Kluyveromyces lactis: one gene and its partners. The protein of the gene in region 2 purifies or fractionates together with the protein of the main gene of each other region. This does not show direct contact. Links are inferred from orthologs where the notes say so. Each region holds a gene or a part of one and is shown on either strand. Other genes may lie near its edges. The genes, in order: PHB2, YTA12 and PHB1.

Region 1 (2,833 bases), on a different chromosome or scaffold from region 2:
TACATCAGAAACAGGATTCTCAAACTGCGAGTACAAGTTTGCACAAGGCCATGTTTAAGAAACCATCACCACACCAGCTTTCAGAAATGAAGAACAAGTTTGCTTCTCCTACCGATGATTTGCTCTCTCCATGTTCCCAGAAGTTGAACGATCACAGATCGAAGTTGTTCCAGGCAAAGAGCAATCCTACCAAGTTGAATTTCCAGTCGAAGCAATTAGCAGAAGAGTTTTAAATTTAACATGATCCAAGATACCCACTCCTCCCTATACTCTTCTGCGACTACATTCCTTGAGATACTTTGCTCTTAAGACGCTATTTTAAACATATTTACTTCAAGTCAGGCAGGTCCGAAACTTGCCTCAACTTATATCAACTTTTGCATCATAAACCTAGACATGAAATGTGCACGACATCTATATGAAACACAATGATTGCTCCTTTGTATATCCCCCAGTTTTTAACATATATTCTGAAAACATCTCTGTTTGGATTTTTACATAGGGATTACAACTCGTCGTCATATTGTTTTGAATTTTGACTTTTACTATAAACAAGATACATACGAGATAAATAAGATACCTAACTCGTTGAATGTGAAGAATTGGTGTTAATTTATTGTTTCAGTTTTGCTCCTCTAGTTCTTTGATCTAGAATCGGTCACTGTATTCAATAGAAGAGCTTCATTATCTAGAATAACCTTGTTTGGAGATCTGGATAAGATAGAAGCAATTTCTCTAGCAGTATCTAATCTCTTCAATTCCACGTAATCTTTACTTTTCTTGATGGCTTCACCAATCAATTCAGCAGATTTGGCCTCACCTTGTGCCTTAACGATCATACCTTGCTTTTCTTGAGTGGCCTTATCCACGACGAAAGCAGCCTTTTGAGCGTCTTGTTGAGCAATTTGTTTGGCTTCAACAGAGTTTGTGAATTCCGGAGAGAAAGTCATGTAAGTGATGGAGACATCATCCAACATGATATTGAAATGCTTAGCACGACGCACCAAGTTTTCCCTAATCAATCTAGAGACACGTTCTCTTTGGGTAATCAATTGAGAAGCATTAAATTGGGCAACCACCGCCTTCAAAACTTCATTCACGATACTGGGAAGCACTCTTTCATCGTAATCAACACCGAGAGTACGGTAAATCATTGGTAAATTCTCTACGTTAGGTCTGGATAGCACTCTACAGGTGATGTTAACCATCTGTAAATCCTTAGTACCGGTCAATGACGATACATTTCTTGGCTTGGCACGCACATCGTAGACGACCGGGTTTTCAACCCATGGAATGATAAAATGAGTACCTTCTGGGTAAATTCTCGGTTGAACACCGTTGATACGTGAATAAACAATGGCACGGTGACCACCATCAACGTTGAAAAGAGCTTCGTTAGCCAAAAATCCACCACCAATCAACAAAAATAAACCACCTAAAGCCCCAAAGGCACCACGAGGAGGCTGTCCGGAAGGATATTTACCACCTGATTGTTGTGCACGAGCCAATTGTCTTTGTACAGATCTGGCAAACTTACCAAAATCACCTGGATATCTGTTCATTGCGTTCTTTTGATTAAATTATAATAACTTTGCGGGGGGTAAAAACACAGCTTTTGTTTCAAATTTACAGCCAATCAGAAAAGGGCAATGTGCGGTTATATATATAATATTACTGCTGCGATTGTCGTAACCTCCTAGTTCCTTTGCTTGAACCCTTTCCCTTTAAGCAATTTCAAACAACGAACTGAGTTGCTCATTTCTCACTTTGCCACTTAACATCTGAGAAGGGGCGACATCCCCGAAAATATGTTTGTCACAATGCACGGATCACGTGATAAAACATCAACACTCTAGCCTCTGCTCATGGTGGTATAGCCAGGCACCGGGAAGTTGAATGTTATCTGAGACCCATAAGTATCCTATTTAGTACTTAAAACCTGTCAGCTTTCCAAATGTGTACCCAGATTTCGTCCAGGTGTACCAAGTCTTTCCACTGCCGTTTCTTATTTCTTTGATATGAGGTAAAAACCCTTTAAAAAGGGTTTCAACTTAAAGACAGCTTATTTCATACAAGCGTTGGTTGGTCAGAACCATACAAGAGCTGTCCTGGGATCAGTGTATTTGTAAAACATTGAAAGCACAATAAACAATTCAAACTATGGGTGCTGACTTTTTGTTACATGCTGCGTGTATGAACGGAGATACCGAAAAGGTTCAACAGATATTAAGTGAGTTTCCGGGCGCAGTGAAGGTTAAAGATGATGATGGCCGATATCCTTTGCACTGGGCAGTATCATTCCAGCAAGACAACATAATTGATATATTGTTGTCCTATATGAAGAAAATTGATTTGGACACTATTTTGGATGAATCTGGTTGGTCTCCGGTACACATTGCTAGTTCTATCGGTAGCGTTACTATTCTTGAAAAGTTACTTAATCATACTGTTGAACCAAACCTTGATCTACAGGCTAATAATGGGATCACTGCTTTACATTTAGCTTGCTCTAAGAAGCATTTAAATGTGGTTCAACTTTTAGTGGAAAGAGGAGCTTCAGTGAGAATTAAAGATGGCCTTGGTCAATTGCCTTTGCATAGAGCTGCAGCTTCCGGTTCAGTGGGAATTGTGTCGATATTATGCGATAAAAACTCTCCTGTTAATATAAAGGATAAAAACGGATGGTCTCCTTTGTTCCATGCTTTGGCAGAAGGTCACGGCGATGTTGCTGTCACGTTGGTCAACAAGTATCATGCATTATGGGAAGGAGAAACCGACAACGATGACTTGTCCATAGATAAAATCTGTGTTGACGCAAAAGTGAAGGATTACT
Region 2 (4,418 bases):
CTTCTTCCTCATCAACCTTATATACTTTCAATGTGTCGCTTTATCTATCTCGGATTTGTTTTTGCCAAACTCGGAAAGATCACACCGAGAGGCATATAGGCATGCATAATGTTAAACAATCAATAATCAGTACGCTCTAGACTGATTAATGGCCAAGACAACAAGCACATCAAACGTAAGTGAAGTAAATTGTGTCAACGTAGACCTCTTTTGTTATTATTAAGAATGACTTACTTAAAACCACCTATTTACATGCTTGATATATACAGTATAGTCTGATGATAACTACTGGTGCTTGGGATTACGAAATGAAATTGCAGAAACAGAGTAGTTAGAGCTAATAATGTTATTGTTTTTAAAAGACGTTGGGATCATCTTGTTCATTGCTCTTTTTGTCTGAATCCTTCTTGTCCGAATCCTTCTTATCATTATCCTCCTGTTCATCTTTCTTTTCAGATGCTCTGTTCTTCAGTTCGTTAGCTGCTTCTTGATCTTTGATCTTTTTGGTTTCACGTTCATTCAAGTATTTGTCGAATGCGTCGTTACGTTCTGGGAATTGACGTTTACCTAAGAGTGCAATCATATCTTCTCTTGTTAGAACTTCCTTTTTCAGTAGAAGTTGAGCAATCTTTTCAACGTCTTCAGCCTTTTCTTTGAGTAACTTGGCGCAACGATCGTGGCATTCTTGAACGATACGGTACACTTCAGAGTCCACAATGGATCCTGTTTCTTCGGAGAACGGTTTGGTTAGATCGTTTTCACTTTTCTTGGCAAAGTTGATCCACCCGATCTTATCGCTCATACCTAACTCAGTTACCATTGCAGTAGCCATACGAGTAACTTTCTTGAAATCATCGCTAGCGCCAGAGGTCACGCTTGGGAAGTGCAGTTCCTCTGATACACGGCCACCTAGTGCCATGGTCATTCTGTCCTTTAGTTGTTGTTCTGAAAGTAGGTATACATCACCTGGTAAGTATTGTGCGTAACCTAGAGCACCTTGACCCCTAGGAATGATACTGACTTTGAGTAATGGGTCAGCAAACTCTAGATACCAACCACAGACGGCATGACCAGCTTCATGATATGCGACAACCTTCTTTTCTTGTGGAGACAATAGTTTTGATTTTCTTTCGACACCACCGATGACCCTTTCAATGGCCTGTTCGAAATGTTCCAATCTAACAGCATCACAATCGTTTCTGGCAGCAATCAATGCAGCTTCGTTACAAACATTAGCAATGTCAGCACCGGAGAAACCTGGTGTCATAACAGCCAATCTGTTTTGTAGATCTGTCATATCACCAGCCAATGTAATTTTCTTCAAGTGAACTTTGAAAATTTCTTGACGGCCTTGTAACTCTGGTCTATCAATGTTGATATGTCTATCAAATCTACCAGGTCTCATCAAAGCCTGATCTAGAACATCTGGCCTATTGGTACCTGCAAGGACAACAACATGATCTGCAGTAGTAAATCCGTCCATCTCAACCAAAAGTTGGTTCAAAGTGTTTTCTCTTTCGTCATTGGCACCAGAGAAGTTACCCTTTTGTCTTGCCTTACCGATAGCGTCGATTTCATCAACAAAGATAATAGCTGGAGCATTTTCTCTAGCGGTCTTGAACAAATCACGGACTCTGGACGCACCAACACCGACAAACATTTCTACGAATTCGGAACCAGACACAGAATAGAATGGAACACCAGCTTCACCAGCAGTAGCCTTTGCTAGCAAAGTCTTACCAGTACCGGGAGGACCAGATAGGATTGCACCTCTTGGAATCTTGGCACCCATTCTTTCGTATCTGGATGGTTCTTTCAAGAAACTAACGAATTCCATGATTTCTTCCTTGGCTTCATCGCAACCAGCAACATCCTTGAAATTGACCTTTACGTCGGTATCTTTATTAAACTTTCTGGCCTTTGATTTACGCACGTTGAATAAACCACCTGGGCCACCACCGGCAGCGGATGCACCCTTTGTAGTAATCCAAATCAAACCTGCAATCAATAGTGCAGTTGGTAATATTTGGAAAGCTAATTTGACCCAATTCCCCTCTCTAGTGTAAAGAACAGGAATTCTAAAGTCTTCCGCGATATTCAATTCATCTTGTGCTTTCTTCAATTTATGTTCAAATGATTCCACGGATCCGATCGTAAAGAAATAAAAATCGTGGCCCATATGTTCAGGTTGATTTTTCCCGTTATCGTTCAAGATAACCTTGACTAGATTATTATTGATAACAATTAATTTGGACACGTACCCTTTCACCAACAACTGGTTACGGAATTCTTGCCATGTAAGTTCTCTTTGTTCCTCCATGCTGTTCAATCTGTGTAGGATAAATGCTAATATCGTCAATGTCAAACCAACTTTGAATAAATTGATGTTAACAGTCATCATATTCGAATCATTTGGTGTGAAATCCGTATTTCCGTTGGAACTCTTCTTAGACTCATTCTTGGGATCATTCTTGGGATCATGCTTCTTCGCCGATTCTTCAAATTCTCTCTTCTCGCGCTCTAGATGGAAAGGATCATTCGCTTTATCTTGGGCATCTTCTTTTTCCTGCTGCCTCTTCACAGCAAGCTCCAACCTCTGTAATTGCTCTTCAATCTTCTTCTTACGCTCTTCCATATCGAGTTTCTGATCTTTGTTCAAATCATCGATAAACTTTCTAACTTCTTTCCTGACTTTATCAACGTCTTCATCCGTAGGCTCCTTTTCAAACCGATTCTGCATCAAGTTGAGCTTACCGGAATGGAACGTACGGCATACGTCGTTTCGTAACAATATCAGCGAACGCCCCTTTGGAACTTTGTACAACGCCCTACTGGCCACAGACTTTACGCCAAGCCTAGATACCGGCCTTATTAAATGGAACATTGCAAGTCACTTCAATGTAATAAAACCACCACGTCGCTGCTACGGTTAGCCGAGTCTGATTGCTATACCGTTTACCTAACAGGACTTTTCGAATTTAAAACCAGTGGAAAATCTTTGTTAACACCGAAACAAACCGAGACAAAAACAGCCGTTTCAACAAACACCTGGCTATTTTACACTACTATAGGGTCTTAAATTCACAATGCAACCACTGTAGATTGCAAATGTAACTGCTAACGCTCCTTTTATCGGTGGCAAATGGCCTTGTCTGTTCACCTTATGGGGTTGTTCTGGTTGAAAAGCCCAAATTCATTTTTGGTAGAGCAAGGACATATCGTTACCCGGCCACTTAGTATAATACACTCTTATTACGTATGTTGAGATATACACGTATACATGGGAGGTCAGTTCAGCTATGTTATAGGCTTGTTTCGAATCTCTTTTGTTCTTCTATAGCAGCGACTATATCTTCGTCCAAGATGTCTTCGTACATCGATGTAGGGACGTCAGAAAGACCGGTGCAAGGTCTTGCTAGGTCAAGAGCTTTGATTCTTGTTTCGTACATAACTTGGCTTGTGTTTCCTTTCACTTTCTTCACTGATATCACTCTCGTCGATTGTGTGGATTGTGGTATATGTAAGACGTTCGTGTACGTATCTCTTAGTCCGAGGTTTTCGATGAGAAGAATGCGTTCTCTATCGTAGAAAAGATCACTGTTGAATCTACTGCATGCAGCAGCATGATGATAGAGCCAGTTCGTAGATGAGATATTGCTTGTTGCCGGGATGTTGTGATTTCTCTTGTCAAAGAATTCTACTGCATTTTTGGATGGGTTGACGGATAATTGTTGCGGAATGTCTATTCCAAGGGTATTTCTTCCAGTGACACTTGTGTGTGATGTTTCTCTTGCTGGGGTACCCTCTTTCACCTTCCCGGATGCACGAAGCTTACCGGCGTAATAATCATCCGTGATGTTTTTACCATCTACAACAACCTTGGCTCCGAATTCTCGGAACACACTCCTTGCAGTAACTAGCGCAATGATTCTGTTTCTGTACGAATAGGGCAATACACCATTTTTGATGAGATCGTCTCTCTCTGATTGCGAGATAATCAATTTGTATAGGTTTGGATGGTACTGGAAGAACAAGTATGAGTCTCTGAACCCAACGGCACGGGCTGGCTCAGTAGAAAGCATGTATTTAACTTCACCTCTGGAAGGTACCGTGAAAGTTCTGACTACAAATTGTCTTCCCTCTAGAAGATCACCATTCTTGGTGATCTTGGTTTCACCCTCTGGATCCTCAGGTAATGAATACTCGTCATTCACAATTGGGTATGGAGACCCGTTTTCGTCCACTGGGTACGGTAGTTTCTGTCTTAAGGGATCGTTCAAATCTTCTTCTCTTTTCCTCTTTGAAGGCCTTCCTCTTGTCGCTAGTACCACTGGAACAGGTGTGCTCGAAGCGGCCTTGCGCTTGGAACGAGATGGTTTACCCTCGTTTTCGATATCAGCATCTGGGTCATCATCGTA
Region 3 (2,676 bases), on a different chromosome or scaffold from region 2:
ATGTTATCCGATGATTAATGAGAGAGAGAAAGAGAGTATTCAATGACCACCTAATACCTGCCGAATAATCGGTTCTTCTCACCTTTATTTTCCCTACCTTCCTTTTTTTTTTTTTTGTCCCGAGACCCTTTTTTCCTTTATTAAAATACCGTTTAATTAATATCTTCATACATTCATCACATCATGTCATGTGTATGTGCTTGTGTATGTGTATGTACATATAATAATAATTATAATTAATATATGCTTTGTTAAATATAACTTTGGCAGTTTTATGTTGCTTTGCTTAAATTGTATATATTTACATGAATTCTGCCACTAAACATAGGAGAAGGAGGGGAAAAAACATCTTTTTTGGCTGGGTGTTGGCGGTTTAACGGCCAATGTTTAGTAGAAGAGAGTTTGATGTACCGTCTTGGCCACCTTGGCTGCTTTTGGATGGTAAGTAGGTGATGTTTGGAGAGTTTGCTAATGTTTCGGCAATTTCTTTGGAAGCTTCCAATCTTCTGATAAGCAATAACCCGTCACCGGCCTTGCTCAATGCCTTGGAAATGTAGTCTGCAGATTCAGCTTCACTTCGGCACGAATAACCGCAGCCTTTCTCTCTTGTTCCGCCTTTTCAACAAGGAATCTGGCTCTTTCAGCATCTTGTTGTGCGATTTGCTTTTGTTCAACGGCCTTGGTGAACTCTTGACCAAATGTCATATGTGTAATACTGACATCTTCAAGTTTGATATGGAACTCATCAGCACGCTTGGAAAGTTCGGCTCTGATTCTTTGAGACACAATTTCTCTCTGTGTAATCAATTCGGCTGCGTCGAATTGGGCAACAATGGCCTTCAAAACTTCATTACCAATACTTGGTAAAACTCTTTCATCGTAGTCAATACCCAAGTTTTGATAAATCTTGGGTAGTTGCATCACATCTGGTCTGTGCAAAACTCTCAATGTTAGTGATACCATTTGCAAATCCTTCGTGCCGGTGTTCGTAGCAATGTTCTTTGGCTTTGTTCTAACATCGAAAAGTATACTTTTTTGTAACCATGGAACTAGGAAATGAGTACCTTCACCAATGACAGCTTGCTGAACACCCTGCAATCTATCAAAAATGACTGCTCTGTGACCACCTCTGACATCATACATCGAGTATTGAATGGCACTTACAGTTAAACCAACTGGGATGGCGATACGAGCCATAACATCAGCTACACGAGACATTTTCAGCTTCTAGTAATCACTTATTTCGCTATCTCCAGTACAAATAATAATGACTAAGTATCAATCAATTAGTTCGCTAATGGAATGATACGATTTCACAGGTAGTTCAACGGTTGTTGTTCTTCCTTTTCTTCTGACCTGTTTCTCTCCCCCTTGAGTTCAGAAGTGGCGAATCCCTGCTTGCCATTTTATAATTTGTTCTCCATTCAGCATTTTTCGGTTTTCAAAGGGTGCAGTCACGTGATACGAACTGCAGATATATCTGAATATATAGTAAAACATATACACTAGCACAACACAGACATACAGTATGGGGTTTATATTCCTTCTTGTACACTATAAGAATCATCTGAATGTTTAGTAACAATTTCCTTTTGTTGCCAGAACGAAAGGATGTCAAGAATTTTCTGTCTGGGCATTGATGTCATTTTATGGAGATCTTTCAATGTATACCTTCTCTCAGGTATAACGTAATTACAGTCAGCCATCATACCAGGAGCATTTCTGCCGTTTGTCTCGTTTTGAAAATGTGATATCACCAAATATTGTTCCATTGTCACTTTGAAGAATCGTCTTTCGCCTGATTTCGTAACTATATTGATTGAAACTCGGCTACTAGATCCAGTATCAAATTTTAGCGTCCTTCCAGTATTCAATCTTTCGTACACTTTCGTTAATTTTTGAATCAAAGGTTCCATTTCGCTGTCCCATTTGTATTTCGTAGTAACGAGTCTTCCATTCAGGTTCTGATAATGTCTCCAATAAAGTTTGGAAAGGATCTTAATATGGGGGAAATTCTCAAAATGAGAGTTATTTTTATGGGCTACTTGATTTCTGAATTGGCTGCTTAATCTTAGGTCTTCGAGCATGATATCTACATCATTGAGGTGGGTTAAATCGGCTTCCTCTGATGTAACAGTACCTTTTCTTGTCCCTTCCAAGTGATTCAATATAATATCCATTATTCTCTGCCATTCTGGATCTAAGGAATATTCCTCAGATTCAATAAATTTACCACTTACAACACCTAAGAGATCGTCCACTAATGTTCTCTTTGACTCTAGTACGTCTAATAGCACATGGATCAAATCAACCGGTGGGACATATTTGCCATCATTGTCAGCAAAATCTTCCACATCAAGTTTGATTCTTGGGGGTTCCGGTACCCAGTTCAAATACTGTTTCAAAAGTTGATCGTCTCCATCGTAAGTACACCGAGGTAGATGGGGCTGGTTGAACCAAGGCAACGCGGTGGGTAATTCGGGACCCATTGAGAAATCACCGACCTCTCTCGAAAATTGCTCTAACTTTTCAAGATGTACGGAACTACCATCAGTTGATGATGCAATTTTGAACCGTTCATTATTTTGGAATGGAAATATCCCGAGTAGTAGCGTTTTTATAATATCCGGTCTTGGATTCAAATATACTCTTACCGCCTTTGATAGCGATCGGAGA

Evidence for each region.
Region 1: the proteins of YTA12 (region 2) and PHB2 purify together in Saccharomyces cerevisiae (affinity purification with mass spectrometry; 3 studies listed by BioGRID). This does not show direct contact. The link is inferred for Kluyveromyces lactis from reciprocal best matches to the Saccharomyces cerevisiae genes YTA12 and PHB2.
Region 3: the proteins of YTA12 (region 2) and PHB1 purify together in Saccharomyces cerevisiae (affinity purification with mass spectrometry; 4 studies listed by BioGRID, with this or other methods). This does not show direct contact. The link is inferred for Kluyveromyces lactis from reciprocal best matches to the Saccharomyces cerevisiae genes YTA12 and PHB1.

What each region holds. Positions count from the first base shown.
Region 1 is NC_006041.1:1,406,522-1,409,354, reverse strand, and holds PHB2 (prohibitin subunit PHB2), read right to left. Parts: upstream 1,563-2,833; coding exon 636-1,562; downstream 1-635. Other genes in the region: BNS1 (Bns1p), read left to right, coding at 1-233; NAS6 (Nas6p), read left to right, coding at 2,161-2,833. UniProt on the Saccharomyces cerevisiae protein: Prohibitin probably acts as a holdase/unfoldase for the stabilization of newly synthesized mitochondrial proteins. Involved in mitophagy; may act as an adapter for ATG8 that supports mitophagosome assembly.
Region 2 is NC_006042.1:1,269,195-1,273,612, forward strand, and holds YTA12 (m-AAA protease subunit YTA12), read right to left. Parts: upstream 2,885-4,418; coding exon 356-2,884; downstream 1-355. Other genes in the region: NPL6 (Npl6p), read right to left, coding at 3,303-4,418.
Region 3 is NC_006040.1:1,371,910-1,374,585, forward strand, and holds PHB1 (prohibitin subunit PHB1), read right to left. Parts: upstream 1,219-2,676; coding exon 538-1,218; downstream 1-537. Other genes in the region: APC2 (anaphase promoting complex subunit 2), read right to left, coding at 1,536-2,676. UniProt on the Saccharomyces cerevisiae protein: Prohibitin probably acts as a holdase/unfoldase for the stabilization of newly synthesized mitochondrial proteins. Involved in mitophagy; may act as an adapter for ATG8 that supports mitophagosome assembly.